Sus scrofa: one gene and its partners. The protein of the gene in region 1 interacts with the protein of each later gene in a pairwise test. Links are inferred from orthologs where the notes say so. Each region holds a gene or a part of one and is shown on either strand. Other genes may lie near its edges.

Evidence for each region.
Region 2: the proteins of LZTS2 (region 1) and RAD51D interact in binary tests that used the Homo sapiens proteins (3 or more experiments, as listed by UniProt). The two-hybrid records come from large-scale screens. The link is inferred for Sus scrofa from reciprocal best matches to the Homo sapiens genes LZTS2 and RAD51D.
Region 3: the proteins of LZTS2 (region 1) and KAT5 interact in binary tests that used the Homo sapiens proteins (3 or more experiments, as listed by UniProt). The two-hybrid records come from large-scale screens. The link is inferred for Sus scrofa from reciprocal best matches to the Homo sapiens genes LZTS2 and KAT5.
Region 4: the proteins of LZTS2 (region 1) and ZGPAT interact in binary tests that used the Homo sapiens proteins (3 or more experiments, as listed by UniProt). The two-hybrid records come from large-scale screens. The link is inferred for Sus scrofa from reciprocal best matches to the Homo sapiens genes LZTS2 and ZGPAT.
Region 5: the proteins of LZTS2 (region 1) and TNIP3 interact in binary tests that used the Homo sapiens proteins (3 or more experiments, as listed by UniProt). The two-hybrid records come from large-scale screens. The link is inferred for Sus scrofa from reciprocal best matches to the Homo sapiens genes LZTS2 and TNIP3.
Region 6: the proteins of LZTS2 (region 1) and PQBP1 interact in binary tests that used the Homo sapiens proteins (3 or more experiments, as listed by UniProt). The two-hybrid records come from large-scale screens. The link is inferred for Sus scrofa from reciprocal best matches to the Homo sapiens genes LZTS2 and PQBP1.
Region 7: the proteins of LZTS2 (region 1) and SUV39H1 interact in binary tests that used the Homo sapiens proteins (3 or more experiments, as listed by UniProt). The two-hybrid records come from large-scale screens. The link is inferred for Sus scrofa from reciprocal best matches to the Homo sapiens genes LZTS2 and SUV39H1.

What each region holds. Positions count from the first base shown.
Region 1 is NC_010456.5:112,076,738-112,081,034, reverse strand, and holds the start of LZTS2 (leucine zipper putative tumor suppressor 2), read right to left. Parts: upstream 2,825-4,297; 5' UTR 2,385-2,824; intron 1,208-2,384; exon of another isoform or gene 65-1,207; intron 1-64. UniProt on the Homo sapiens protein: Negative regulator of katanin-mediated microtubule severing and release from the centrosome. Required for central spindle formation and the completion of cytokinesis.
Region 2 is NC_010454.4:40,057,115-40,060,717, forward strand, and holds part of RAD51D (DNA repair protein RAD51 homolog 4), read left to right. Parts: intron 1-2,643; coding exon 2,644-2,725; intron 2,726-2,969; coding exon 2,970-3,104; intron 3,105-3,603. UniProt on the Homo sapiens protein: Involved in the homologous recombination repair (HRR) pathway of double-stranded DNA breaks arising during DNA replication or induced by DNA-damaging agents. Bind to single-stranded DNA (ssDNA) and has DNA-dependent ATPase activity.
Region 3 is NC_010444.4:6,569,330-6,573,585, reverse strand, and holds the start of KAT5 (histone acetyltransferase KAT5), read left to right. Parts: upstream 1-1,366; 5' UTR 1,367-1,381; coding exon 1,382-1,559; intron 1,560-1,884; coding exon 1,885-1,953; intron 1,954-2,039; coding exon 2,040-2,176; intron 2,177-2,448; coding exon 2,449-2,604; intron 2,605-2,694; coding exon 2,695-2,769; intron 2,770-2,872; coding exon 2,873-2,947; intron 2,948-3,418; coding exon 3,419-3,667; intron 3,668-3,748; coding exon 3,749-3,838; intron 3,839-4,256. UniProt on the Homo sapiens protein: Catalytic subunit of the NuA4 histone acetyltransferase complex, a multiprotein complex involved in transcriptional activation of select genes principally by acetylation of nucleosomal histones H2A and H4.
Region 4 is NC_010459.5:62,639,624-62,643,811, reverse strand, and holds the start of ZGPAT (zinc finger CCCH-type with G patch domain-containing protein), read right to left. Parts: upstream 2,825-4,188; 5' UTR 2,729-2,824; intron 2,513-2,728; coding exon of another isoform or gene 2,430-2,512; intron 2,260-2,429; coding exon of another isoform or gene 2,172-2,259; exon of another isoform or gene 2,085-2,171; intron 1,918-2,084; coding exon of another isoform or gene 1,825-1,917; exon of another isoform or gene 1,786-1,824; intron 1,729-1,785; exon of another isoform or gene 1,507-1,728; intron 1,473-1,506; exon of another isoform or gene 1,327-1,472; intron 1,246-1,326; exon of another isoform or gene 1,107-1,245; intron 821-1,106; 5' UTR 734-820; coding exon 150-733; intron 1-149. Other genes in the region: ARFRP1 (ADP-ribosylation factor-related protein 1), read left to right, coding at 1,825-1,917, 2,172-2,259, 2,430-2,512. UniProt on the Homo sapiens protein: Transcription repressor that specifically binds the 5'-GGAG[GA]A[GA]A-3' consensus sequence. Represses transcription by recruiting the chromatin multiprotein complex NuRD to target promoters.
Region 5 is NC_010450.4:102,891,175-102,895,243, forward strand, and holds the start of TNIP3 (TNFAIP3-interacting protein 3), read left to right. Parts: upstream 1-1,252; 5' UTR 1,253-1,419; coding exon 1,420-1,422; intron 1,423-4,069. UniProt on the Homo sapiens protein: Binds to zinc finger protein TNFAIP3 and inhibits NF-kappa-B activation induced by tumor necrosis factor, Toll-like receptor 4 (TLR4), interleukin-1 and 12-O-tetradecanoylphorbol-13-acetate.
Region 6 is NC_010461.5:42,975,130-42,979,460, forward strand, and holds the start of PQBP1 (polyglutamine-binding protein 1), read left to right. Parts: upstream 1-1,516; 5' UTR 1,517-1,535; coding exon 1,536-1,602; intron 1,603-4,331. Other genes in the region: TIMM17B (mitochondrial import inner membrane translocase subunit Tim17-B), read right to left, coding at 744-916. UniProt on the Homo sapiens protein: Intrinsically disordered protein that acts as a scaffold, and which is involved in different processes, such as pre-mRNA splicing, transcription regulation, innate immunity and neuron development.
Region 7 is NC_010461.5:42,796,091-42,800,186, reverse strand, and holds the start of SUV39H1 (histone-lysine N-methyltransferase SUV39H1), read right to left. Parts: upstream 2,879-4,096; 5' UTR 2,053-2,878; coding exon 2,034-2,052; intron 1,635-2,033; exon of another isoform or gene 1,144-1,634; coding exon of another isoform or gene 1,140-1,143; intron 1-1,139. UniProt on the Homo sapiens protein: Histone methyltransferase that specifically trimethylates 'Lys-9' of histone H3 using monomethylated H3 'Lys-9' as substrate. Also weakly methylates histone H1 (in vitro).

The DNA of each region.
Region 1 (4,297 bases):
TGTCTGGGGTCTCGGTCGGCTCAGGATTAGGCGGCGGCGGCGGCAGGTCACCCTCTACCCCTACCCGGGCCCCGGGGCCAGCGGCAGCTGGTCATTGTTCGAGCACAAAGGGCCAGGCGCCGAGGCGGCCGCCCTTCCCCCTTCTCTTGTCTCGTCGATGCCTCTTCCCCCAGACACACTCTCCAGCTTCGGAGTCCAGAGGGGGCGGCGGAGGGTCAGTTGCCCCCGATTCGGGGCCCTGCGCCCCAGCACAAGTCGGGGGCCAAGGCTTGGTGGGTGTCTGCCCCACCCGCAGCCGGTTGGAGGAGGCACGCTTGGATTTGTGGAGGTGGCGCCACCTGGCGGCCCATTCGGAGAACACACTCGGTCACCGCCAACCTTGGGGGACCTTACCCTAGAAAGCCTAGGCCTTTCCCCAGCGCGGCTCAGTGCTCCCCAGCCTTCCCTCAGAGTCATTTCCTAAGAGAGAGGCCACTGATCCGAGAGAAGCAGCCCCTGGGCCCAACAGTCACTGAGGTGAGCCCATCCAAGCCTACAGGCCAAACCTACACAGCCGCGTAGCACACAACATCCCACTGTCTTCTCAGGGTCACGGATATTCTCAGCTCGGCAAACAAAACAGTCTTAACACCCACACGACCTTTCCCACAGTCTCACACAGCCACAATCATACAGTCTTTTTCATCACGAGGTTCCATGTCTCTTCTTCCCATAATCTTTCAGGCCAACACACAGAGACATTCGTTTCACATGCCTAGTTGTACACAGGCTTTCACAGCTCGAAGTCCTTCGCACCCAGTCACAATCTTAAATACACTTAGTCTCCTAAGCATTTTTCACACACTGACAGTCTTATTCACAGTCAAAAAACGTCTTCTTACATGTACACAACGTATTTCACAAACATTTTATCACACAGACTTTCCCGTAGGGTCTCTGTGACCCAGTCAGGTCAGCTGATGCCCACACGGCTGTACAAGGACAGCCTCCAGGCCCCTAACTCCGCCCCATCCAGGGCCAAGGCCTGCCACAGCTCCTCTACCCCAGGAAGGAGCATCTCCCCCCCTTCCAGGCCACAGCCCTGGCAGGCTCTCAGCTCTATTTTTAGCTCTATGGAAAGGATTGTTTTTCTTTCTTTTTCCCTGGAAAGGGAAACAGCTCAGCCACCCGCAGGCTCACCCTAGACCCTCTGCTCACAAGAACAGACTGAGTCCCACTCCGGTAGAGACCCCCCCCCCCTCTTCTGGCCTTGCCCTGATCCCAGCCTCCTGGGGCACTAGGAGCCGCCTCCCCTTTCTGGCAGCCAGCCCAGAAGCTCAGGCAGCAGCTGGGCTCAGCGTGCGTGTAGGGGTGGGGGGTGGGGTGAGGAAGGAGGCCGAGGGCCGATGCCCACTTTCATGCCCTGGGGGGAGGGGGCTGTCTTCCCTTCTACGGGAGGGAGACAGGCCCTCTCTGGTGTTGAGATGTGCACGCTCCTGCATTCTCTGGGGAAGGGGGACTCCCACTCTTGCATGCGTGGGCTTTCTGTTCCTACATTGCAAGGAGGAGCTCCTAGCTCTGCAGGGAGGGGTGGTAGTAGGAAGGGCACCCACAGGCGCTGCCGTAGCTGCTCCCTTGGCTGCTATACGCTGCCATCCAGAATATCGCCCCCACGCCCCCAATATCTTCAGGGATGGGGCACCATGTTGGGGAGAAGGAAGGGCGAAGAGCCCAGGTAACCCCAGGCCAGACCAACAGCCTCCTGTTCTCCTTCGCTAACCCGACTCCAGGGGGCGTTGTGTTCTCCTTCCGGGGGAGGTGGAGAATGGACTACAGCCCGGCCAGGTACCTTGCAAGCCCGTCCTGCACCGGGGCGGGCGGTTCCCGCCCTGAGGCCCGGGTGGGGGGAGCACAGCCCACAGGTCTGCGCTACGATCACGTGCTCGGCTCCTGTTTACGTCTTAGTCTTCACCTGCGGGCTGCCGGAAAGCAGGAACCTCTGGAGTTGTCCCACCCGGCCCGCCCCCGTCGGCGGTCCCTGGGTCTTTCCTCCCACCCCTGTCAAGTACGCGGCAGCAGCGCGCCTTGCCCGCTGGGGGTCCCGCGGGCCAGTGGCGTTGTTCCAGGGACGGCAGGCACAGCTCACTGGGCGCGTCCTCTTTAGGGTGCACGTGTGTTCGTCTGTCTCAGGTGCGCGCGTGGGTCTGTGTGTACGCGTGTTTGGACCCGTGAGTGTGAGGTTCCGTGTAGGTTCCCTGTTCACACTCTTCGCTTGTGCCTCCTGCACTGGGGACTCCCCTCCTCACTCCAACCCCCAACCTTCCAAGACCGGTAAAGTTCGCTCCGGCGCGGGGCTGTGCAGGAGCTAGAGTTCCGACACCTCCGCGGCCCCACCACGCACTCACCTAGGGCCACCTGCGCCGCCGCTCCAGCTCCCCTCCCGGCTCCTGCTCCAGCGCCAGCACCTCCTCGCCGCAGATCGGCCGGCTCCCAAGCCCGCTCCGGGCTGCGGACTCCCAGCGCCCGTCCGGCCGGGCCTGGAGGAGCGGGGCGGGGCGGCTGAGGCCGCGCCCCCGACCCCGACAGGGGAGTGGTCTGCGCAGCACCCCCTCAACAACCGACCCAGTGCCCAGCCCAGATGTGGCTCGATGGTGGCCCAGGACTGCTCCTCTGGCCTCTGACTTCACACCTTACAGCATTTGTCTTTCAGCTCGGGGAAGGGGCCAGTGGCACGTGACAGCTAAGCTGGCTGGCTGTCCTAACCAAGTCGGCTGTAGGGCTTTACAGCCACCTTCCTCAGCGCTTTAGGGAGCCCATCCTGGTCCATGCTCAGCCCAGTCCCCAGATGGGGAAAACCCCTGGGAAGCAGACAAAGAAGGCTCGGGTTTCACCAAAACAGACCCCGCCTTCCTCACACACACACACCTCGGCGTTGGGGCTGCCCTTGAGGACCAGCACCTCCCCCTCCCCGAGTAGGTGTCGGCCCAGGTGAGCCGGCCTGCCGGTTTGGGCCCCCACAGAGTATGGCCACGCTTCTCCTAGACTCGTAAAAGTTCCACCCACAGGCACAAACAGGAAGTTGACCTGTACTGCAGGGAGGAACCAAGGGCTCCCTCCCTCCATGGCACCCAAAGTGGCCTTTGTGAGGGCAGACTGTGCTGTCTACAGGTATCTGGGCTGTATTTGCAGCCTGAGCCCTGGGTAGCCGGAGTCTTGTGAGTTTAGTCCCTTCTCAAATGCAAGATGGAGAACCAAAGCTGCCCCCACACAGCTAAGTGTGACAATGAGTCTGAAGACAGCAGACAGCGCTGCAGATCCAGGGACCCTGTTCTGTCAGGCTCTTCCTCAGCTCTCAGGAAGGTTCTAAATGTCCAACTGGGCACATGGAATGCTGGTTCTAGCCCAGGTGATTTGCCTCAATCCACTTTGGCTGAGTACAGGGACAGGGAGTCCCAGGGACCTTACCCAGGAACTAGGGATTACCTGCCACTTTCTAGGCTGCAGTTACTCCGGAACATACTTCTGGCTAATTCTGATGCTAGGAGCTTAAGACAGGTGTGGAATGGAATGTGCTTGTGTACGGGGTGGGGCTGGGGGAGAATTAGCTTCCCCTCCCCCGAGCTGGTTTGTGCAGTGTGGTGGTGTCTGCTAGGAGGGTGGGGCAAGCCGGGCAAGTGTGTATCTATTCCTCTATAGCCAGTTCACACAGACACCTCGCAAAAGTTCCCTAATGGAAACTCCTAAAGTATTTCCTGAGAACACACCAGGCATTCTAGGGAGACCAGACCAACACCTTTCTAGGTAGCATTGATCTGGTGGGGTGCATCTGGAAGGCATGGCTGATGTTCAGTGTTGTAGCCCCTGGATGAGGCCTAGACCAGCCAGCGGCTGGGAATGATTACTGTGGGATTAGGAGAGCTGGCTCCAGCCAGTCTGGGAGAGACCCCCAAGAAGGGAGGCCCTGGAGGATCTCCCCCCTCCCCCCCAGGGAATGGCTTTGCTCCAGGGTCTGTTTCAGAAGACAACTGCAGTCACAGTTCTCACACACCACAGACCAGAGACCCCAGACCATCCATCCCACAGGGGTCCAGAGCCTCCTCTCAGGTTACAGGGAGACCTTGATAAGGCAGCCCTGCTTCCAGGGAGCAGGAAACCTCCCCCAACCCCCTCTACAAAAGGTTTCTCCCCAGCCCCTTTAAAACAGCTTGCATTCTCACCACTTCTGCAGGCAAATCTAAAAGGAAACGGGCACTTCGGGATATCAGAGGAAATGAAATGGAAAAGTGTCATTATTTAGGAATATTTGTCAGGGTCTCTG
Region 2 (3,603 bases), on another chromosome or scaffold:
ACAGGTAGTGACTTGCTCAAGATCCCCCAGCTAGTAGGTGGCAGACCAGGCCCTTGAAGTCATGCCTGTCACATTCCTAAGTCTAAGAACACAACTCTAAATAACACGTCTGCCCTGTTGCCCCCCCTCCGGGTGGGAGGCTTTCTTGCGCAAGTGGACGTACAGGCGTGGCGTCGAGGTACTCCGGTGGATGGGGCCAGGGAGGCTGGCAGCAGAGAGCCCCGGGAGGATGTGGCAGGGGAGGGCATGTGAGCTGGTTTAGGGCTGGTGACAGCAGGAGGCATGTTGAAGAAATGTGATAAGCCTGCCCACCCGGGGGGATAGAGAGATGACCCGCCAGGAGGTCCCTTCATGGCTTAGCAGTTAATGAACCTGACTGGGATCCATGAGGATGTGGGTTCGATCCCTGGCCTCGCTCAGTGGGTTAAGGATCTGGCATTGCCGTGAGCTGTGATAAAGGTCACAGACACAGCTTGGATCCCGAGTTGCTGTGGCTGTGGTGTAGGCCGGCAGCAGTAGCTCCGATTAGACCCCTAGCCTGGGAACCTCCATATGCTGCAGGTGCGGCCCTAAAAAGAAAAAAAATGACTCACTAGGTTTCTAGCCTTCCTCGAAGTGTTCTGTGGACACTGGGTGGTTGTGACTTTACTGTGGGAGGGGAGTCAATAGCGTGGGAAATGCTAGTTGACCCAAATTAAGCGGGTTTCTCTATTGCGGGCTTTCTCATAGCCTTTAGTGCCGGTGGGCGCCATGGATCTTTACAAGGACAAGGGACTACGCACCGTGGCTGGGAAGAGCTGCGTTGACTGGGGGAGGTGGGTTGTTCCTTGAAGGCCAGAGCTATGTCTTATTCATCTGTGCCTCTGCCTTGTAAAAGGCCTTCAGGAAATGTGCTGTTTGAATGAATGACTGAAAGCCAGTTCAGAGGGAAAGGTGGGGGATAAATCCTAGAAATCCTTTGTGTTCAGAACAGGTGGTGCTGGAGTTTCCTGGTGGCTCAGTGGGTTAAGGATCTGCCATTGTCCCTGCTGTGCCGTTGTCACCCTGTGGGTATGGGCTTGATTCTGGGCTGGGGAACTTCCTTGTGCCTAGAATGAGGCCAAAACAAAACAGATGAGGAGTTCTTGTCATGGCTCAGTGGTTAACGAACCCGACCAGTGTCCATGAAGACCCAGGTTCAATCTCTGGCCTTGCTCAGTGGGTTAAGGATCTGGCGTTGCCGTGAGCTGTGGTGTAGATCGCAGATGAGGCTCAGATCCCAAGTTGCTGTGGCTGTGGTGCAGGCCAGCAGCTATAGCTCCGATTCAACCCCTAGCCTGGGAACCTCCATATGCCGCGAGTGCCACCCTAAAAAGACAAAAGGTAGAAAAAAGGGGGGGGTCCTTTAGGTGGTAAGAGACGTGGAATGTAAACAGGTGAGAAGTCAGCTGGGAGGTGGATTTAGGAATTTCTTATGCAGACTGATCCTCATGGTCAAGAATGCGACTGATTCTTTTTTTTTTTTGGTCTTTTTAGGGCCGCACCCGCAGCATATGGAGGTTCCCAGGCTTGGGATCGAATCAGAGCTGTAGCTGCCAGCCTACGCCACAGCCGCAGATCGAGCCATGTCTGCAGCGTACACTGCAGCTCACGGCAACACTGGATCCTTAACCCACTGAGCGAGGCCAGGGATCGAACCGGCAACCTCAGGGTTCCCAGTCGGATTTGTTTCTACTGTGCTACGACGGGAACTCCTGTTCGGTGTCTTATTTCTGACCATTACATAAACCCAGGCATGTGAAGAAATGGCTAGATCTATACACACAGACACATGTGGAAGTACTGGTGGATCTGAATAAGGCCGGCGATGGCTCCAGTGTCAGTTTGTGAGGTTGTACTGCAGCACAGTACGTCTTAGGGTGAAAGATGCTGCCATTGGGGGAAATGAGGGGAGGGATACAGGGGACCTCCCCATACATTGTTTTGGGGTTTTTTTTTTGTCCTTTTTTGCCATTTCTTGGGCCGCCCCTGCGGCATATGGAGGTTCCCAGGCTAGGGGTCAAATCAGAGCTGTAGCCATTGGCCTACACCAGAGCCACAGCAACGCAGGGTCCGAGCCGCGTCTGCGACCTACACCACAGCTCACAGCAACACCGGATCCCGGATCGTTAACCCACTGAGCAAGGGCAGAGATGGAACCTGCAACCTCATGGTTCCTAGTCGGATTCGTTAACCACTGAGCCACGACAGCAACTCTCTCATACATTGTTTTTTGCAACTTCTTGTGAATCTGTAATTATTTCAGAGTTTTTGTTTGTTTGTTTTTAATGACAAATTAGGGGAAGTGCTCATGCAAAGGGCTGAGATGGAGAATGAGAGGAGACCTTTGGATGGGGCGGCAAAGGCCTCCGTGGACGGGTGATCACCCAGAGGTGACCCTGAAGCCGGGAGTGAAGGGATGAGGGGCCAGAGGAGGAGCATTTAGCCGTGCCCCCCTTCCCTGAAGGAAACCCCACCCGGAGAAGCCTCCTGGCCAGAATGTTAGACGGTCTCTGGACAGAACAGTGCTTGGAGGGAACGTGCAGCTTTTCTTCCTGGTTCCAACCCCCCTCCCTTCCCACCAGTCCCCTTGATTGATTATTTTCCCTCTTCCTCTGCCGCCAGCCTGGACAAACTGCTCGATGCCGGTCTTTATACTGGAGAAGTGACTGAAATCGTAGGAGGCCCAGGTAGCGGCAAAACCCAGGTACACGCGTGGCTGGCAGCCGGGAGGGTTGGAGGAGGGGGTGCCTAGCCCTGGATCCCTGGGGCCGCTTCTGCCGTGTGCTCGTGGTTCAGAGCTGGGAAGGGAGAAGACGGGTGGTGAGGGGTGGGCTTCGAACTTGGCCCATTGGTGTCTCTGGGATCTGGGCACAATTTGGTGTTTGGAAGCTCCCTTTCTGGGCATTCCTTGAGGGTTCAAGTTCACCTGGTGCCCCGTCTCTACTCAGGTGTGTCTCTGTGTGGCTGCGAACGTGGCCCACAGCCTGCAGCAGAAGGTCCTGTACATCGATTCCAACGGCGGGCTCACAGCCTCCCGCATCCTCCAGCTGCTTCAGGCCAGAACCTCAGATGAGGAGGAGCAGGTAAAGGGCAGGGGGGTGGGGATCCTTTGCGGCTCTGATACTGTAAAACCCCGTTATCGAACATGGCAAGAATGGTGGCCATTTGGGTAAAGAGTCGTCTCTGTCTTCGAAACGGGGTGTTCTACTGACACTTGCTGTTTGCTGCAGGCCTCCCCATTATGACATCAGCCCAGCTCAGATGCCACCTGCTCTGATCCAGGAAACCCAACCCCAACCTCATGCAGGGCTGCCACACACCCCACCTCTGTTTCTACCTCATTTTTTTGCCCGTGGTAGACACACTCATCAGTCCTGTCACTCCTTCCGTGGAGCTCTGACTTGGCTTTACAGCTCGGCACCCCTTGGTTGGGAACTGGCCCATCAGAGAAAGCCCATTTGCCATCATGGACCTGAGTCCTTGCATCTAAGTGCCTCTTCCTGCTCAGCCTCAAAATCCCTCTTCATCTTGCCCGACCCCCTGCTCTTCTCCAAAGCCTTCTTTCTCTTTCCCACCCCTTCA
Region 3 (4,256 bases), on another chromosome or scaffold:
AACTGAATGGACCAGCTCATCAGTGAGGGAGAAGAAAGAAGGTGGGAGGAGAAACCAGAAAGGCAGATCTGGAGTTCAGTTCAGGACATGCCCCTGGTACATCCAAATGGGGGTGTCGAGTAGGCAGAGAAAGTCGAGGGAGATCTGGGCTGAAGATACAAATTTGAGAAACCTCAGAAACCTGGGAGCGGCCTTAAAAAGCAAACAAACAAACAAACCAACCCATTCTTAGTACATTTGCTGTAGGAAAGCTAGCAGAGGGTTGGATTTGGCCATTTTGCCTATCTGGCCCTTTCCTTCACCTGGTGCTTTTTTTCTTCTTTGAGGGGGCTTTCTCAAAACACTTATCATTATTTAATAGACTAGATAATTTATTTTTTAACGCTATTAACCAGGTGTTACCTATGCCCCTCTTTTCCCTCCCAACCTCCAAGAAGGTAAGCTACAAAAGGAGGGAATCCTTGGGAGTCCCCATCATGGCTCAGCGGTTAACGAATCTGACCAGGAACCATGAGGTTGCAGGGTCGATCCGTGGCCTGGCTCAGTGGTTTAAGGACCCAGTGTTGCCTTGAGCTGTGGTGTAGGTCGCAGACGCGGCTCGGATCCCAAATTGCTGTGGCTCTGGTGTAGGCCGGCGGCTACAGCTCTGAATCGACCCCTAGCCTGGGAACCTCCATATGCCGTAGAAGCGGCCCTGGAAATGGCAAAATGACAAAAAAAAAAAAAAAAAAAAAAAAAAAGGAATTCTTTATTTACTGAGGTATTCCAGGCTCCTAGAACAGTGCCTGGTACGTGGCAGGTGATTTACTACACATTTGTTGAATGTATGCATGAATGATGTATTACTCCTGTAATTAGCAACCTACTATACAAAACAACAAACCTACAAACCTTCCGTGAGTTCCCAACCCCAAGGAGTTAGGGCCACAAACTTGGCGAGGGTTTTAAGTCCCTCAAGTCCCACCCACTTCTCCAGCCCCTCAAACCCTCAAGACCCGCCCCAACCCCCAGCCGGGCACGCGCAGTTCACTCCCCGAGACGCATCCTGCGGCCACTAGGAGACGCCCAAACCCGGCCGCCGGCGAAGCAAACACCAGTCCCACGTGACCGGCGTCGCACCCGGTGAGCGTCACGTGACGGACTCAGTTTTCCTCCAATCGTTGTGCACGTTGTGGGGATTCCACCGAAGACCTGGTTTGAGACTTACAGTACCCTATTCCCCCGCCAGCCAAACGGGCCGGCTCCATGAGCAAGCTGGGTTGCGGGGTCTCTCCAGGGTCCTCTCCTGAAGCCGGTTTGGAGAGACCTGGGCCTACAAAGTGCTCGGTCCCGGAAGTGACGTCTCCCAGAGGGGCCGGAAGTGGCAGTGGAGGGAGGGAAGATGGCGGAGGTGGTGAGTCCGGTGCCCGGGGCGGGGCGGAGGGAGCCAGGGGAGGTGGGTAGAGCCCGAGGCCCCCCAGTAGCCGACCCTGGCGCCGCGCTGTCTCCCCAGGGGGAGATAATCGAGGGCTGCCGCCTGCCCGTGCTGCGGCGGAACCAGGACAACGAAGATGAGTGGCGTGAGTGACGTCGGGGGGCGGGGCTAAGGAACCTGAGGGCGAGGGGCGGGGGGAGTCAAGCGAACCCCAGGGAGGGGGAGGGGCCTCTAGAATCTTGGGGCGGGCGGGGCGCAGATATTCACGAGGGGCGTGGCTTTTAGCCGCTGGAGATGGACAGGGCGGGGCTTGGAGAAGGGAATGACACTTGGTGACTAATGGGGGCTTGGGCGAGAGCTTCCAAGTGCTGAGGCTCAGGGATCGGGCCTGGAGGTGGAGTTCAGGTTGTAGAAGGGCGGAGCCTCATGGCCTGGCCGCTCTAAGGCCGTTCCCTGTGCTGTGCCCACAGCCCTGGCCGAGATCCTGAGCGTGAAGGACATCAGTGGCCGGAAGCTTTTTTACGTCCATTATATTGACTGTGAGTTCTGGGCCGGGATGAGGTGGGGCTAGGGTTGCGGGGGGCAGCCTCTGGCACTCCTTCCTGAGCCATCCCCACTGCTGCAGTCAACAAACGCCTGGATGAATGGGTGACTCATGAGCGGCTGGACCTAAAGAAGATCCAGTTCCCCAAGAAAGAGGCCAAGACCCCCACCAAGAACGGACTTCCTGGGTCCCGCCCCGGCTCTCCAGAGAGAGAGGTGGTGAGTAGGTCCCCTGCTTCAACTTTTCTCTCCTGCCTCCTACTTCTCTCATCTCTTGGCCTCAGTGGCTCCCAGCTGGGCAGGAGGCTGTGCCCTCCCACCCTGGCTTCAGCTCGCAAAGGATGGGGGCCAAATTGCAGATGTAGCTTCCAGAGTCCAGCGTCCTTGAGAGGGGCGGGGTTTGATCATTACACACTGAGGGGCCCCTACTCCCCTTCCCCATCCCACCACCATCCCCACCCCAGAGGAAGACCCTGGACCTATCTCTACAGCCGGCCTCCGCCCAGGCCAGCGGGAAGACCTTGCCAATCCCGGTCCAGATCACACTCCGCTTCAACCTGCCCAAGGAGCGGGAGGCCATTCCCGGTGGCGAGCCCGACCAGCCGCTCTCCTCCAGCTCCTGCCTGCAGCCCAACCACCGCTCAACGGTACCCTCAGCAATTCCAGGGACCTTGCTTTCCTCTCAGGTCCCACCTTCCCTACCTTCTGACCCACCTTTCTTGGTTTCTCTTCTGCAGAAACGGAAGGTGGAGGTGGTTTCACCAGCAACTCCGGTGCCCAGCGAGACAGCCCCGGCCTCAGTTTTTCCCCAGGTGAGTCCCCCAAACCATCTCTTTTTCCCTCCCCTTCTACCTTCTGGTAGCCCCTTTCAGGTGCATCTCACAGCTACTCCTTTTTCTTTCATCTCACCTTCAGAATGGATCAGCCCGTAGGGCAGTGGCAGCTCAGCCAGGGCGGAAGCGAAAATCAAATTGCTTGGGCACTGACGAGGTGGGTCTGGGGAAGAGGGAAGCGGGGTGAAAAGTAGGGGACAGGGGGTTCCCTAGGTGGGTAGCAATTGGAAATCAGTGTGCGCTCACTGCTGTGCCCCTGGGTTCAATTCCTGGTTTGAAAACTGAGATTCCCACATCAAGCCACTGCATGTTGTAGCTAGGAAAAAAAAAAAAAAAAAGGAGTGGACGTAGGCAGGGCAGAGAGTTCAGTGACTCGTTGGAAGATGAACAGAGTGTGCTGGGTTGAGGTGGTGTTGGGATTAGGAGTGAGGCAGAACTGGTTCAGATCAAGCATTGGGTCATCTTTTCCAGTTTCCAATGAAAATTGTCCAAGTCTTGGTTTCTTTAACTGGAAAGTAGGGGTTATGGTATCTTCCCCACTAGGAAACCCGTGGGAGGGCTGTGAGCCAGAGAGTGTCCTGCTTGAGTTGTCTCCTGTAACCTGGCGTCTTTCCGTGGCCCCGGGCAGGACTCCCAGGACAGCTCAGACGGAATACCCTCGGCTCCTCGCATGACTGGGAGCCTGGTGTCTGACCGCAGCCACGACGACATCGTCACCCGGATGAAGAACATTGAGTGCATCGAGCTGGGCCGGCACCGCCTCAAGCCGTGGTACTTCTCCCCGTACCCGCAGGAGCTCACCACCCTGCCCGTCCTCTACCTCTGCGAGTTCTGCCTCAAGTACGGCCGAAGCCTCAAGTGTCTGCAGCGTCACTTGGTAGGAAGGGTCCCAGGAGGCCGCCTTCCTAGCACCCCTGCCCTGCCCTGGCCCTGCCCCTGATTCTCCTCTCCTTCTCAGACCAAGTGTGACCTGCGACATCCTCCAGGCAACGAGATTTACCGAAAGGGCACCATCTCCTTCTTTGAGATCGATGGTCGTAAGAACAAGGTCAGTGGCTCAGGGGCCGTGGGGAGTCTTTGGTGCAGGGAGTCAAGTGAGTGGCCTTTTCCAGCTCAGGAAAGCACTGACCATTTTGGCTAACAGATCTATTCACCCCATTTATTCACTTAGGGCAGGTGTGGGAGATACAGAGTGACCAGCAATTAGACAGGATCTCTGCTGAGGGCTCACAGGAGAAGGCAGACATGCTAGGGGCTTCTTAGATCCTAGCGTGATACATGTCGTGAGACAAAGTGTGAGTTATCAGGATCCAGAGGAGGGGACCTTTGAGCCTGGGTAAGGGGGGTACAGGAATCCGAAACCATGGGTTCTGAAGGGGAGGAATGGATGGCTCTGCAGGTTCAGTTCCAGACCAGAGCAATGAAGCAAATATCATAATAAAGCAGTCACACAAGTTTTTTTGGTT
Region 4 (4,188 bases), on another chromosome or scaffold:
TGGCCCCCAAAGAGCTCTTCTTCTCAGCACCCTGCTGGGCGACGAAGGACAAAACTCCAAAACACAGCGGGCCAACCCCAACCCTGAGCGCAAGCCCCCCACCCCAGAGGCCGCAACCCCAGAGGCCGCAGGGGGAGGCAAGGCTTTACCTGCAGTTCTCCTGGAAACGGCACTTCCCCTCCAGGAAGAAGGGGCAGGGCTTCAGGGACTTGTGAGTGGGATACAGATAGAGCACTCTCACGCCCGGGGCGCCGTCCTCCGCCTGCTCTGTGCCCACGATCATGGCGTTGTGATACTCCAGGGTGCCCCACGGGCTGTAGTAGGGGGCGTTCACCTTCCTCCCACTCAGCTCGGCCGCGTCTTCCTCGTCCTCCCCCTCTTCCTCCTCTCCAGGCTCCGAGGGGTCTGGCCCTGCCTCGTCCTTAGGAACAGTCTCCAATTCGGCCCGGGGCGCTGCTGGCACCTCCACCACCTCGGCGATGGCCTTCTGGAAAGCCACGTACTCCGCATCTTCCGGGGCTGGGTGCTCTCCGTCCAGCGTGGCCAGCAGCTTGCTCTTCCTGACGGACACCAGGCTGGCCTCTGTGAGCTCGATCAGCTCCTTCAGGTCCCCCTGCAGCTGGCGCAGGTCCGCCAGCTCCGAGGGATCCAGGCCGGCGCCCAGGGCCAGTTCCACCTGCCGCAACTGCGCGTCATAAGTCCGGAGGGCGGCCTGCAGGCTCTCCTCGTCCATCCTGCCAGGAGGGGCTGGTTGTTCGGCCAGGCCGCGGGGTTGGGGTGGGTGTTCTGGGTCCTCCCAGGGGAGGCGTGGGGGCCACAGCTGCGGGGAAGAGAAGCCAAATGAGCCTGGGACGGGCCACCGCTGCGAGGCTGGCCCTGGGCGGACAGCCCGCGGAACCGTGAGCTGCCCCCCTCCCGTCTGGGCCAAGAGAGGTTTCCAGCTCCGATCCGGCGAGCCAGAGCCGGCTCTCGGCCTTGGCCCCACAGCCGCAGCTCCCTTCTCAGGCGCCCCGGGGCGCTGCCGTAGGCTCTTCCGAGGTCTCCGCGCCTCAGCCGGGTGCCCCGGCCCACGCCCCGCGCACCCCCGCCCCGGCTCAGCCCGTCACCTCGCCACGCCCCAGACCCTCTCGCTCCGGCCGGGCCCTCCTCCGCACGGTCTCCCGGCCGCCGCCACAGACGGCCCGGCGGCCTCGGCGGCCCCAGCGGCCCCGCGCCCCGCTTCCGCCCTCGCAGCCGACAGGCACTTCCGCCCTCGCGCCGCCACCGCCGGAAGTGCTTGGCGCGGGGGCCGCCGGGACGGTTCCGCCCCTCCCCGAGTGGCCGGCCCGCGTCCCGTCGGGCGTCGCGCGGGGTCACCGCGGGGTCGGCGCGGGGTCGGAGGGTCAGGCGCCGCAGCTCCGGTGCCCTGGCGGCTCCCCCACTCCGGCGTCTCCCCGGCTTCGCGGCCCGGGCGAGCGGGCGGGCGGGCGCAGGTAGGCCGGGGCGGGCGGGCGGAGCCGCACGGCCACTCGGGGCCGCCGCCCGCCCCCACGCGCCCTCCTCTGAGGGGCGCCTGCGGCCGTCTTGGCCCAGGGCCGTCGAGGAGACCTGGGCGGAGCGAAGCCCGGAGGGAGGCCGGACGTGGGAGCGAGGGTGCCGGCAGCGCCGGCCGGGTCGGGAGCAGCTGCGGAGGCGCCGGCGGCAGTGCCGGGCAGAGAGGAGGCGGGTCGGCAGGGCCCGGGGCTCCAGGTCTGAGCGGACAGCAGGCCGACAGACCCTTCTGCCGCTCGGGGAGGCGGGGTGCGGGTCGGATCGCCGGTGACCGATCGCTGGTCTCCGCGCAGGATGTACACGCTGCTGTCCGGCCTGTATAAGTACATGTTTCAAAAGGACGAGTACTGCATCCTGATCCTGGGTCTGGACAATGCCGGGAAAACGGTACGTGCCGTCAGCGCCCCGCGCCCCCCGCCCCGAACGTGGTACTTTTGGTATCACGCATTTAGCTGCGTGTTGTCCAAAGATCCCAGCCCCCTCTAAGACCGGGGGACGGCTGGCACCGGCTGCCTTGATAGCAAAACGGTGTGCTGTTTTGCTTTGTCTTAAAGGAATAGGCCCAAGGAGGGAAACTTGAGAAACAGGCCGGAAAACCATTCCAGCTCCTCTCTCCTGCCTCTCTCTCCCTCTCCCCGCAGACCTTCTTGGAGCAGTCAAAAACCCGCTTCAACAAGAACTACAAGGGGATGAGTCTGTCCAAAATCACCACCACCGTGGGTCTAAACAGTAAGGGGGTTTCTTGAGGGCTGCGGGCTTGGCGGGCAGACCCCTGAGGGTGCTGTGATGGCCACAGGCCTGCAGGCAGGCAGAGCACCAGAGAGCCCCTCCCCAGGAGGGCTGGGAGGTGGGGTGTCAGGGACCAAGGCCACAGCCTCTCCTGTTTTCTTCTCGCCCAGTCGGCACAGTGGACGTGGGCAAGGCTCGCCTCATGTTCTGGGACCTAGGGGGGCAGGAAGAGCTGCAGTCTTTGTGGGACAAGGTAAGAGGGGGGTGGCCACACAGGCTCCCGGCCTGCCTCTCGCACCGTCCCTCCCGGGCCACCTTGGTCTCTCCCTGCCTTTCCTGGGCTCACCTTCTCTCCTTGCGGTCAGCAGCTTGGCTCCTGAGCCGCCCTGTGCTGTCCCAGTGCCCAGGGCGCTGTCCCAAGAACAGGGACATGCTGGGTTCCAGGCTTAGCGATGTTATGGCTACTCACCACAGGACGAAACAGAGGATGGCCGAGGGGCAGACGTGGGGAAGACACAGCGCCAGTGTGGTGCTCGGCCTCAGCGCCGGGGCCTGAGTTGCCATGTGTTCCGGCTCAGGACCTGTGCTCCCGCAGGGGACGTGTCCTCCAAGGCCCACAGCAGCCACCTCCGCTTTTGATGGAGGTCTGAGTCCTTCCTCCGACCTCCACATGGGGCTCTCCTCCCCACACAGCCCAAGGCCAAGTCAGTGGGTCCAGCAGAGAGGACAGAATGGGCCTCTTCCCTCAGCCCCGCCCAGGGGACGCCCACCCAGGGTGTGGCGCAGCCCAGTGCTGGGGCGCAGACGCGCCCATCCCAACACTGGCTGGTGGCCGGGTGCTCAGGACCTGATTTCTGGTTTGACGCTCGCAGCAGGTGCCCAGTCACTTTTTCCTCGTCCCCCAAAGGTGTCCTCCCTAGCCTGCCTTCCATCCAAGTGGGCGGTTTCTGTCTCGTGGTCAGAACGTCACTGACAGGTCCTCTGAGGCCATTTAAGTGGGACAAAGGCAGAGTCAAGCCAGGGGCTGTTTGTTCAAGTCCTCGACCCACATGGGAGCAAAACTGGTCCTGAAGTTCCGTCACAGGCTGGAGTCTCCGGAGCAGAGGCTACCTTGGGGATTGGGGTGCAGGATATCCTGGGGATCAGCACCAGGGGGCGCTGGGGACTCGGGACTGGGCACGGCAGGGGCGTCTCGGGCAGCTGCCCCACGTCAGGCCACGCTGGCCAGGACTCCATTCCCTTGGCAGGTCCCCACAGTGGGCCACCCTGGGCAGCTGTGACAGGGTAAGGTGCATCAGAGTGGGTCCTGCAGGAGGTAACACGGGCCACGCACTGGGTGCAGTGCCCGCCATCAGGCAGTGAAGCCACAGCCCGTGGCAGGTGCACACTCCTTTCGCTCCTCCGCCTTGGGGGTGGCTTCTGCCAAGGAGAAGCTGGCTTGGTGGCTGGTTGTGACCCCCTTCTGTCCACTTCTTTTGGCCCGGTGGCCTCATCACGAGGGGCTGAGCCCTGATCGTCGAGCCTGCCGTCTCTGGTGGACCCTGAGTTTCTCATATGCTCCCCAACTTCTGAGTGCAGTGGGTGCCCTGCCTGCTGCCAGCAACAAGGTGTGGTCGCCCCTGGCCATGGATGGGGCTGCCTGACATGCCTGGGAGGCAGTGGGGGGGTTGCCACTTGGCTGGTGAGCGGGGGGCCACGGGGTGACCACACACCAGCCCCCACTGAGTCTCTGGGAGGGTGGAAAGCTGGGCTTCTGCTCCCACCCTGGCTCCCAGATGTAGTGTCCTGGGGCCTGCCCTGTCCCCACGCTGCCCAGCACCACTGCACCAGCATCATGTCGGGTGGCCGATTGTTCCCCTCTGGCAGATGGCTGGCGACCTTCACCCCCACCTGCTGCCCTCCGCTCACGCTGTGTGCTGCTGCCCACAT
Region 5 (4,069 bases), on another chromosome or scaffold:
ATGGATAGAAACTAATGGTGTAAATGTCATTTTGTGTTAACTCAAAAGACCTTTTAAAAGACATACTCAGAAGACTTTAGGAGATCTTAAAACAATCATAGTGGTATTTTCACATCAAATATGTTTACATTAATAAATCAGATTAAAGACTGATTATTTACCCCCTAATTTCTGTTTAGATTTTTTATACTGATTGTATGTACAAACTACATTGCACTCTGGACTTTTTTTCTTGTGGAAAAAATTTGAAGTTATAGACAAAGCAAAAAAAAAATCATAAACTCTCATGACCTCATCACTCAGCATGGATATTTATGACATTTTTGTCATTAAAAGAAGATACCTTTGAAGTTCTTTTTGGGAGTCACTGAGTTTCCAGTGTGTGTTTGTGGAGTGAAATTATAGAAGTGGAATCTTCTCACTGTGTCAATCTGTGTTTCTGAAGTACAATGCCTCTTCTGATGAGAGTTGAAATGCAATAACAACAAACTCTGATATAATCTATCTTCTCAAGAGTGTTGATCACATACTATTGGCTGTTTACTTAATCTCACCATGTCCACCAGAAAAAATGAATATCCAGTATAATCAAATGGCATAAATAACCACTAATTATTACTCTTGGGTATTTCATCCACAATGATTTCATTTATGAGATGGTATATTTTTTTTACTATTTTGGAGAGGTTTGCCCCTGCCAATAATTATACAGACTATCGTCCAGTGGAATGAGAAAAAATATGCATAATTCCTATCTTATAATGCCAGTGAAGCAATACAATTTCCCCTGTAGGAAAACACTCAGCAACTCCTTTTTATTTTATTTTTTTATAAGAGAGTGGGCTTATTTCTAAACTATTTTAAAGAGTGGTTAAATGTTAACCGGGGTGCTAGCTCTCTCAGGGAAAGAAATAGGAAGATGAAACAGGGGAACATTCCTAGAAATGAGTGTGTGACCTATGTGGTCTTTACAGTAAATTATACTAATTCTACATTTATGTTTATGTGTTGTGGCCCTATTAAGCTGATATAACTTTTCCATTAAGTGGGCAGGTGGATTTCCTGTAGTACCTTCAAGTGCCTGAAGAGGTATATTGTTTTCTTGTGTTTCCATTACAACATAGAGACTAAGAGGGAATCCTCTGTGGTATTTTTTTACATAGGTTGTGAATCTTGTTATCTGTAGGCTGTATTTGTATCCGAAAGGTGAATATTAATAGCCTCTTGGCAGCAGAGTGACTTTCTTAAAAAAGGGGTTTCCCTGTGTATGGGTGGATTAACCTTTCAAAATATATGTTTCTACTTAAACCACTTAGTTACTGTTTGATTCAAAGGTTGTCATAAAGACAACCTCTCCACATCTTTATTAGACCTTGTAGTACGCTTACCTAGATCTGAGCGGAACTTTCAGTATAGAGCATGGTGAGTAACGGATGCCTTGTGCCTCTACTTTCGTTTCGCTTACTTGCTAGAGTTTGCTATAACGTATTTCTTTTTAAAATGCCTGAAGTTTTTGTATTAAGACGGCATGTGTGATTTTTGAGTTCGCTAATATTAGCAAGTAAGATCTGGGTGCATGTATTCCAGGTGGGAAATGAGATAGAATTTATAAAATGTAATAATGTGTGATGTTCTCCTGTAAAATTTTTATAGCTTTCATGAGTTATCCCCTTTGTCCATGTCAGATAAAGTAAGCTTTTAAAATGACACATTTAACCATATGGTGTTATCGTATACACTTAACTATTCCTAACAATCCTGTAAATACTAACTAAATTTAAGTACTCACAAGAATAATCTTACTGTGTTTGTCCTCTTAGGCTATATTTCAGGGTTCAACAATCTTAATTAAGCAATGATCAGTGCAAGGTGCCAGGCAGAGTGTGTCACAGTAGTGGAGAGCCTTGCTTGTATTCTTCACGGTATTATGTAATCCTGTTGATGGGAAGCATAAAAGTTCTAAAATGATGTATTTCTAAATATGAAGTCACTGGGTTGTTTTACTTAAATAGTCAAATTTTCCAAAAGAGATTGGAAAAAAAACTTCCCTAGGTAAAATTTAGTTGTAAGCCATCAGATTGACATCCAAGGAAGCTTCATTTTAAAATCCAGCAGTGGACAAAGACAGACCAGATAACTATGAGCACAGTGATGATTTATTTTAATTAATTTAGCAACATTAAATTTCTGGCTTAGCCACAAAAAACTTTCTGCTGTGACATTCTAAGAGACTTCATTCTTCTTGGGAATCTCGGGCAATGCCTTGTTAAAGAAACTCTGAAAGAACTTTTTTAAATGGCAAAGCATCCAAGGACCTGCTCCCATAGCCAGCCCACACAGGAGCTTAACGTTATGGGTGACAAATAAGTATATGCAGGATGGGTCAGTCTTAACACAGACTATTTTTAGAAATGCTTTCCTAAAATTTTTGAGGCTATTTTTAAAAAATCAGATTTGTAATATATTTTTAGAGCCCAGAAAATAAAAGGGAAAAATTTCTCTAATTTTCTCCTTTGCTTTTCACTCTCTGTCTCTCAGCTTGCTTTTCTCTCTCTCTACCAAGTCTACACTAGTACATCATAGGCTTCCAGGATAATTTTTCCATTGAAATTTGAAACCACTGTACAATTTCCCAATATTAATGAGATAAATGAGGCATGAATTTGTAAGAAATAATAATTCTTAAACATGGGAAATTTAGTATTAAACTCAATTCCTCCTGCTAAAGGAACCTGAAACAAAGGCATCAGAGGGAACTGTGGAACAACAGAAGAGACAGGCACTGTTCTACATGCCTCATCAATCAAGGTCCCTGACTCCTTGACCATCTTTTTCCACTGAGTTTAAGCATCTTCACCTAGATTGTGAGGGGGGAGGGGAAGGAGACTGAAGATGCTTAGTAAGTTCTTTGTCAACTGAATACTTCCTGCCGAGGATAAAACCTTAGGCCTCATTTTAACTGCTAACTTTTTAAAAAATTGCTCTTTAATGTTTTATTCTTAAGCACTTTAGCTATCAATTTCTAAGCTTTGCTTCCTCATTAAGATTAGATAATGCAGAACTCTCAGAGGAAAACCTTTTAGTCACGGTTGTTCTCCTATCTGTTTGGTGTTGTGACAGTTTAAATCTTTCAAATATTGTTTTCGTGAAGGAAGAAGGACTTGAAAGAAATGGACTTTACACACACATGCCCCCAAGACTTTAAGAAAGAGGCGGGAACTTTTAAAAATGTCTTTCTACTGAAACTGCACAGAACATGAGTAAAAAATTAATTTTATTTGAAAACACGGTGAAGATTAAATATCTCCAGGGTTTTTAAATAAACACAGTATATGGAGGAAAATTATCCTAGTGGCTGCAAAGCACAGTCCCATCAAATGGATCTCTTGATGGACCTAAGAATGTAAAAAGTCTTGGAAGACAGAGAGAGTCACAGTGGGGCAGTTAGTACACAGTTAATAGAATATTAAAATAATCAAAGCTAATTATTCTATGTTTTTGCTAATCTGATACAAAAATTATGCAAGAAGAAATATATTAAGTAGCATAATTAATAAATATATTTGAAAGTAAATTACCCCTTTTATAGTTTTAAGTTACATCTTAAATTATAAAGATGGCAAAATGTTTCCTTTTGCTGTAAATAAATATTGATCAGTAGAACAGGTTATGTCCTGATGCCTCTGAGATAGTTTGTATGCTCACAGGTATATCAGTACATTCTTCAATGGGTTGCTCTATTCACTTCTTTTTCTTCAATATTAAAGAATACATTACCATTTTTCACAAGCTCTTTACCAGGAGAAGTTGTTCAAAATTGTTCTGGGAAGACAGCTTACATTATTTTAACTACAAAAGGGAAAGCAGTGGTAGATATTAAAAATAAAAGAAAAATTGTTCAGCCTAAACATGAAAATATGCTTCCCTTTTGAATTTTTCTTATAGAGAGGAACATAAAATACTGGAACACTATCAAAACAATCAAATTTGATTTACAATTGAAAAAAGTGAGTAGGAAGGTTTTCAACTTTAAAGTGTATCATAAAGACAAATTTAATCCTACCTAAAT
Region 6 (4,331 bases), on another chromosome or scaffold:
ATAATAAAGAGGGTATTTTCCTCCATATTCTCGCAAAGAAACAGTGCGGAAGGGGGAAAAACATTAGTCGTTGCCCTTGTCCGCCCCTCTCCTTCACAGCCAACTGGTTTACTGCTAGCAAAGATTAAATGACTTGATTGCAAGCAAAGAGTGGGCACGTTTAAATAAGCGCTACGGAAGTGTTAACAAGCTGGCACTGTAAAGTACAACGGGGGTCGCACCCCCTCCTCCGACAATGAGCTCGTCCAGCCACGCTCTTCCCTTTCTTCACCTTGCACGAGGGAGGAAAAACCTAGCTGCAGACCGTGGGGACGATCCGACACCCCCTCCTTGCCCACAGTGGGCTCACCCAAGCCCCGCCTCCATTCACCAAAGGGACCTGGGAAAAACCACGCGCGGTAACCCTGGGGATTTCCGCCTAGCAACACACCACCCCCCGGCTGGAATGGATTCGACCAACGTGTCTCTTTCCGTTAACAAGAGGGACCGGGGACAAGAGTCAAGGGAAACGTGGAGTGGTTCGTCCTGCACCGCACCAGCTCCTTCAAGCACACAGTTGTGGCCCCTCTTAACGGAGCCCAAGTAAGGAAACAAGTGGACGGGAGCGGAAGGAGACAACAAACGTTTAAAAGTCTCCCGAGTCTGGGACGTGGCGCTGTGTAGCCAGCGCCTCCCCCGCCCGCCTCCCACCGCTGGCCGTGGCGCCGCAGCAAGAGTCCCGAGGCCTGTGCCCCTCGCCGTACCAAGGCTCCCGAGCGTACTCCTCCATGGCGCCGGCGTCCGGCCGCGCAGTCTGGCTAAATCCCGGCCGGGCCACACCCCCACTGTAAACGCACACAGGCGCCCGAGCTTTCCACCTATTCCAAGGTAATGATTGGGTCCTTTCGCCAGACGTCAGGCCAAGGCGCACTCTCATTGGCCAGTTAGGTTTCCGTCATCTGTTCTCTGCAGCCCGAGCGTCGCCCAGTTACCTCTGGCTCAGGGAGAGAGGGCCTCATTCTTTCCCTCAGGAGAAAAAGAGTCGTGGTCCTGGCGATCATAAAGGCGTCGAGAGAGAGGCCGACAGTCTGACAGCCTTCCGCAACCCGCGTGACTGTATTGGTAATGTCGGGGTGGGCGCATTTTTTGGAGCTAGAGGAAACCCTGCTCCCCCCACCCCTGCTCCTTGGTTCCTTCCACCCGGCAGTCTTTGGGGGACGTTGGGTGAGCCCATTTCTGGGGCGCGGGGGAGCGGCGCTTGGCCCCTTCGGCGATGGGTGGAGCCTAGGCCTGGGAGAGGAGGCCTGGGAGAGGAGTCCTGTCCCGGAGCACCCCGCCTGGAGAGGAGAGTTGGCGAGAATTTCGGTGATACTGCCGTTTATCCCTTCCACCTTTTAGCGGGTAGGTTCTGTTGCCCAGCTCCTGGTGCAGGTGGGTAGGTGGGAGTCTAGATGAGTGCATGTTGGGGAGAGGCGCTTGCTTACGAGCTCCAGATTCAAATCCTTATCTGAACTGCTTTCTCGTCTGTCCTTCCCTAGGTCTGTCTGCTACCCGCTATGCCGCTGCCCGTTGCGTTGCAGACCCGCTTGGCCAAGAGAGGCATCCTCAAACATCTCGAGCCCGGTGAGAGAGCTAAGAGCAGATGGGCCTACCATGTGCCAGGCTTGACAGGCACTTTGTTGTTGATATTGCCACTCGATCCCTAGTATGGGCCTACTATATACCAAGCAGTGGGCTGGCAGACATTTTGTTGTAAACAATACGTATTCCTGACGCCGATTCCTACCGCGTGCGCGCGGACGCCTACGGTGGGGGTGGGGCAGGGAATAGACATTTCAGCTTTAGTCGTACCTAATACTGACAGCTGATGCTTATCTTGGATCTTCATACGCCAGATTTAATCCAATCGATCCCTGGAAGAGTATCTAAGGATATTAATAGTAAACTGACATCTATTACAGCCTCTTTTGGACCAAATACAGTGGGAGGAGGCTGATATTTTGTTCTTTACCATACTAGTAGGTAACATTTTTTTCAGATCTACTGTAGAGCCAGGTACTGTTCAGGCGATATATACCGACTTGTTCACCAGTTCAATAACTGACATGTATTTCGGGTCTGCTTAAGTGGCTGGCATATGCATTATGGTTTACAGTATGTAAAATAATGGTAGGGGAGTTCCTGTCGTGGCGCAGTGGTTAACGAGTCCGACTAGGAACCATGAGGTTGCGGGTTCGATCCCTGGCCTTGCTCAGTGGATTAAGGATCCAGCGTTGCCGTGAGCTGTGGTGTAGGTCGCAGACGCGGCTCGGATCTGGCGTTGCTGTGGCTCTGGCGTAGGCTGGCAGCTCAGCTCCGATTGGACCCTTAGCCTGGGAACTTCCATATGCCGCGGGAGCGGCCCAAGAAAAGGCAAAAAAACAAAAAACAAAACAAGGATAATGATAGGATCTGTCATTTTGGCCTGCTGTGCTGCCGTTGCCAGTATTTATACCTTACTGTCATTACAGTAAAAGTTGGCATCTATTTTGGGCTAAGGTGTGGCCGTGTACTGGAAAACTCATTTTCACTTTATTGACAGGTGACATCTATTACAGGTTTGTTGTGTGCCAAGCATAGATCTTTGGTTAATAATACGGATAATGGTCATTGATATTTATTTTAAGCTTACTGAATACCGGGCCTTGTGCCCGTGGTACGTTTCTTACTAACAACACTAATGATTATAGCTGATGATCTATTTTGGACCTATTGTGTGACAGGCACTATGTTATTGCTGAAATAGACATTTCATTGTTAGCTGTATACACAGTTGAAACCTGTGATCGGCCAACTGAGGTCCAGGTACTCATGTACCTTTTTTAAAATGTTTGGTCTTTTTATGGCCACACCCACGGCATATGAAAGTTCCCGGGCTAGGGGTCGAATCAGATCTGTAGCCGCTGGCCTATGCCACAGCCACAGCAATGCCAGATCCGAGCTGCATCTGTGACTTACACCACAGCTCACAGCAGTGCCAGATTCTTAACCCACTGAGCAGGGCCAGGGATCAAACCTTCGTCCTCGTGGATGCTAGTCGGGTTCGTTATTGCTGAGCCACAATGGGAACCCCCACTCATACACCTTTTTTATTCTGTTGATAGTAACTGAAAACAGTTGCAGGTCTCAGGAGCTGAATATATTCAGAGCAGTGTTTGGATAAATGCCTTGCTCTCCAAACTTGCTACTCAATATACTAGAATCAGAAACTCCCTATTTGCCAAGCTGGAGAACTGAATGAATTTGGACGTTTTTAGATAAAACCTTTGCTGTTCAAACTAATTTTGTCCAAATAGGTTTGGATAGCGGGGAGTTTCCGTCATGGCTCAGTAGTTAACAAACCTAGTTAGTATCTATGAGGACGCGGGTTCAACCCCTGGCCTCACTCAGTGGGTTAAGGATCTGGCATTGCCATGAGCTTCAGTGTAGGTCTCAGGTGGGGCTTGGATCCTGTGTCGCTGTGGCTGTGGCCTGGAGTGGCAACTACAGCTCCAATTTGACCCCTAGCCTGGGAACCTCCACATGCCACAGGTGTGGCCTTAAAAAGACAAAACGATACATAAAAATAGATTTGGGGAGTTCCCGTCATGGCGCAGTGGTTAACGAATCCGACTAGGAACCATGAGGTTGCGGGTTCCGTCCCTGCCCTTGCTCAGTGGGTTAACGATCCGGCGTTGCCGTGAGCTGTGGTGTAGGTTGCAGACGCGGCTCGGATCCCGCGTTGCTGTGGCTCTGGCGTAGGCCGGTGGCTAGCTATGGCTCTGATTGGACCCCTAGCCTGGGAACCTCCATATGCCGCGGGAGCGGCCCAAGAAATAGCAAAAAGACCAAAAAAAAAAAAAAAAAAAAAAAAGATTTGGATAGCAGGGTGTCACATACTGTCTGAACACAGGAACTAAACAAACATGGATACACGTTTTTTATTTAATTTTTATTTTTTTTAGGGCCACACCTGAAGCATATGGGGGTTCCCAGGCTAGGGGTCTAATCAGAGCTACAGCTGCCAGCCTACACCACAGCCACAGCAACGCCAGATCCAAGTGGCATCTGGGACCTACACCACACACAGCTCAGGGCAATGCCAGCTCCTTAACCACTGAGCGAGGCCAGGGATCGAACCTGCAACCTCATGGTTCCTAGTTGGATTCATTTCCTTGCGCCACAACAGGAACTCCGGATACACTTTTTTGTTTTTTTTGCTTTTTAGGGCCGTACCCGCGGCGTGTGGAGGTTCCCAGGCTAGGGGTCGAATCAGAGCTACAGCTGCCGGCCTACGCCACAGCCACAGCAACGCCAGATCCGAGGCATGTCTG
Region 7 (4,096 bases), on another chromosome or scaffold:
GGGGTCAAAGAGGATCTCAGATCCTCCCTGAGACTTCCAAAGGACTGCCTCACGGTCAGTGAAATTTAATCCACAGGCCTTCCCAATGCTCAGACCCTTCTACAACAAAAACGTGCTACTCCCATCTACCCCTGGAGCAGCAGACTTCAGGGTGGGATCTGCTGCAAGGATTGTCCTAAAGGCATCTATTCCCAGAGCTCCCAACTCCCTTCATACCATTCCTGAAGCTGCCTGCAAACCTGCCTGGAGTTGGGACCCAACCATCCTTCTCCCCACTTTGCAAAAGAAAGAGAACCCCCCTCCATCTCAGTAGGGTGCATAGCCCCAAGGGGGGTGGGTAGGGATGGGATTAAAACCTCCAGAGCAGCACGGAACAAAGGCCTAAACTGGAAAGACTGGTCCACAATTCTTATCTGAAACTCCTGGGGCCAGACATGTTTTTGGAATCCAAATTTCTTTTTTTGGATTTTACAAGCGTAGTTCTACATATAGCCCACACTTGCCCTAACACACCCCTGTTGTGGTCAGGGGAACCAAGCCATGATCAAACACATTAATACTTCTACAGCAAGAGCCTGAATTTTTCATATTAAAGGGTATAAAGATATAAGGTAGCAGCACTGATCAGGCCCTCCTTGGAGTCTAGTTTTGCCACTGAATGATTCCAAATTTGTCTTCAGGGCTTTCTGAATTTCGGAATTATGAATGAGAGATTGTGGAATGTTAGTACATTACAGGAAGCTTCCCTGAATGATTATTCTGGGTGCCTTAAACCCACAAGGTATGTTTTCGACTTTGTCTGGTCCATGCTTCTGTGAAGGGTGCAGCTCACCCAAAGGGCTGTGCTCTTAATTCAAGAACAGACACGACAATATAGATTAGTGACGACAATTATTTTGAATATCCCCGGAATGTTTTGGGGACTACCAGAATTTTCCCGGACATGCAGATTTTTTTTTTTTTAAGTTTAAAAAGGCTTCTTACAGTTCAAGGCATATTCTTAATGACTGTGCTTTAGAAGCCATTTTATCAAATCATTTCACAAGCCCTTATTCCAAATGTAGTCAGTCCTCATTCATTTTCACCTTTTAAAAATGTTTACTATTTCCGACCTCCCGTTAGAAAAATCAAATACTTACTCATGATGAAATACTCTATAGATGTCACACTACAAATGGCCAAGAGCTTTACGAAATTGTTACGTGTGCATTTCCCCCGCTCCCTTAAGCGGGCCTAATGGAGATTCGGCCTGTGCCCACGCTTCCTTTTCCCTCTGATGCTTCTCCCTTTCAAACCCTCAACTTGCATTTGAAACCCCGCTCAAGCGGTCCCAACTCACACCAGCTGCTGGCTCCGCACTGACCACAGGTGGACCCGCCTACCCTCAGAGGTCCCCCTCACACCTGTGGAACCCATCCTCCCCGCAGCTCTCCTCACCCAGAGGAGCCCGCCTTCCCCAACATACTGAGAGAGTCACCCCTCTTTCCCTGCGCACGGGGGGATCCAGCTCTCCCATTAGGGAAGCCCCTGCACCTCTTCCTGGAAGAGTCCTCTCTGCTGCAAGCCCTTCCCCCATCACGCTGCGAGGAGATACCCTCCCCCTGAAGAGTCCCCTGTCCCCCAACTCTGAAAAGGAGGTCCGTCCCCTTCCCTTCCCTCCCCTTCCGGCGTCTCGCGTGGACACCAAGCGGGTAACGGTCACCGGCAGCCAATTTTCCCGCGCGCGGGCGCGGCCTCCCCGACAAGTCCCCGCGCGTGCGCGCGCCGTCCTGTCGCGAACTGCGGCGCGCGCCCCCCTCCCGCGTCCCCACTTAGCCCCGTGCCCGCCGCGTTCCGAGGCACGCGCCCCCTCCCCTCAGCCCCGCCCAGCCCCGCGCGCCAGGCCCGCGCGCCCCGAGCCCCAGCCTTTCGGCGCCGAGCTTCCGGCTCCCGGCCCCGTGGCCTCGGACGCCGGGGCCCCGAGCCCGCGACGCCACCCCTCCAGCCCACCCGGCCCGGCCAGCGGGCCCGCGTCGCTGCCGCCACTGCTTCACCTTTTAAATTTTCCGCCATCTTTCCCCACGGCTAACGACATTCGGGCCTAACCGGCCTCGCGAGAAGAGAGCTCGCGCGGGCGTGGCCGAGAACGCGCAGCCTATTGGCCGCGCCGCGCCGCGAGCAGCGCCAGCGCGGACCAACCGGCGAGCCGTGACCGGACCCCTCCCCGCCACCCGGCTCGGTCCCGAAGGCGGGTGCTCGCCGGCGCTTTCCCAGAGTGCGTCTGGGCGGCGGCGGCGGCGACGGCTGTGGCTGCCGAGGTTGCCGGAGGCCCTGCCCGTACGCCGGTCTGTCTGTCACGCTATCAGCCAATCACGTTGTCAGCCAGCCGCACGGGGGGATTCTCCGTCTTGTCAGACCCCCAATTACGGCCGTCAGTCAGTCCGTCACCACATTTTTAACCCCAAGCAGGCCATGACTCCCCAGGTGGACTACCGCCACACACAGCTGCTCAGGCAGTCACCCGACTCAAATCAGACAATGGGTCATTCACCACGACCACCGCCTCATCAGACCCCTGCCCCCCATTCACGCTGTTAGTCTGTCAATAGCAGCATCCACTCGTGCCCTGGGGCCAGCTGCGAGACCCTCAAGGCAGACATACGGCGCTGACAGCAGCTACGCTGCACGCCCGCCGGCCTGTCATTCTCTTAGCCTGTCCTTTTGTCACACCGTCAGTCGGTCCAGCAGCCAGGCTCTTCATCTACCCTGGCCCTGGGAGCAGCTCCAAACCCCGAAGGAGGGGGGTGGCGGGGGGATCATTTCACCACCGACGGGGCCCTCGGGCTGCCTCTGATTATACCATGACAGGCTGTCATTGTCAGCATCTAATGTAGCCCTGTCGTGGTGCAGTCACTCTCTCCACTGTCAGTTGGTCACTCTGTAATTCCCTCGGGTTCCTCCCCATTCACACCACGGATCAGGCAATTATTTCCTCGTAGTCAGAGCAGCTAAAGCCTCCAGGCCACCCGTCAGTGGTCAGCAGTCTGTCACCTCTCAGGCGATGCATGCCCCCCATTGGTCGGTCAGTCAACATCCTCCCACCCCTGGGCCCTCTCAAGGCGGCCGTGATTCTATCCGACGACAGGCATGGGATCGGGCAGCTACGCTGATCTTTCAGTGGGCCAGCTGGCCTGTGACTCATTCAGTCTGCCCCTCATATCAGCCAGCCAGGTAGCCATTCTCAGCATCCGACTGGCCACATGATATGTCAGGCATGGTGTGATCTGGCCAGTGTGGACAGTCAGTCGCCAGATATGGCTTGCCTATCAGTTGGCAACAGATCGTCCATCAGTCAGCCTGAAATTCCCTTGGGGTAGATTTCCTTTACACATCGCCAGACAGCGTGACATCCAGACACTCCCTCGGGCCGGGTGTGATTCCTAGGAATAGTCAGCCATTCACAGTATCCCACCACCTAGGCAAGCAGCAACAACACGGGTCATCAATCAGCCAGCCTGTAAGTCCCCCAGGAGCCTGCCTGCCTTCTGCATTATCAGGTCACCAGCTCCAGCCAGTCCCAGGTGGGCTGTAATTCAGTTAGATTTTCAGTAGCTCACGGTGTCAGGAAACCGCACTGTCATTTCCTCAAATTGCCCCTCTCCCTGTCGGTCCATGAGTTATGTAGTCAACCAAATGGTTATACAGTTAACCAAACGGTTGTTCTGTGCCTGCCAGCCCAGCTGTGACCTGGTTGGAGAAATGGTTGATCAGGCTGAGCTTCCAGTAGCCCCTGCTTGCTGTGAAACAGCTAACAGTGGAGTCTCACCGTGGAGTCCCCCTCTCTCCCTTATTCTTTCTAGAACAGAGTCAGATGCTGACCTTCACATGCCCCCAGTCTCCCCAGGCACACGGGACCTTCCCACTCCCAGGAGTCAAGGAGGCCTGTCGAACCCACAAAAGTGGTTTAAGTCATGACCTTTTTCTTTCTTTCTTTCTTTCTTTCTTTTTTTTTTTTTTTTTGTCTTTTCTAGGGCCTCTCCTACAGCATATGGAGGTTCCCAGGCTAGGGGTCTAATCAGAGATGTAGACGCCAGCCTACGCCAGAGCTACAGCAACG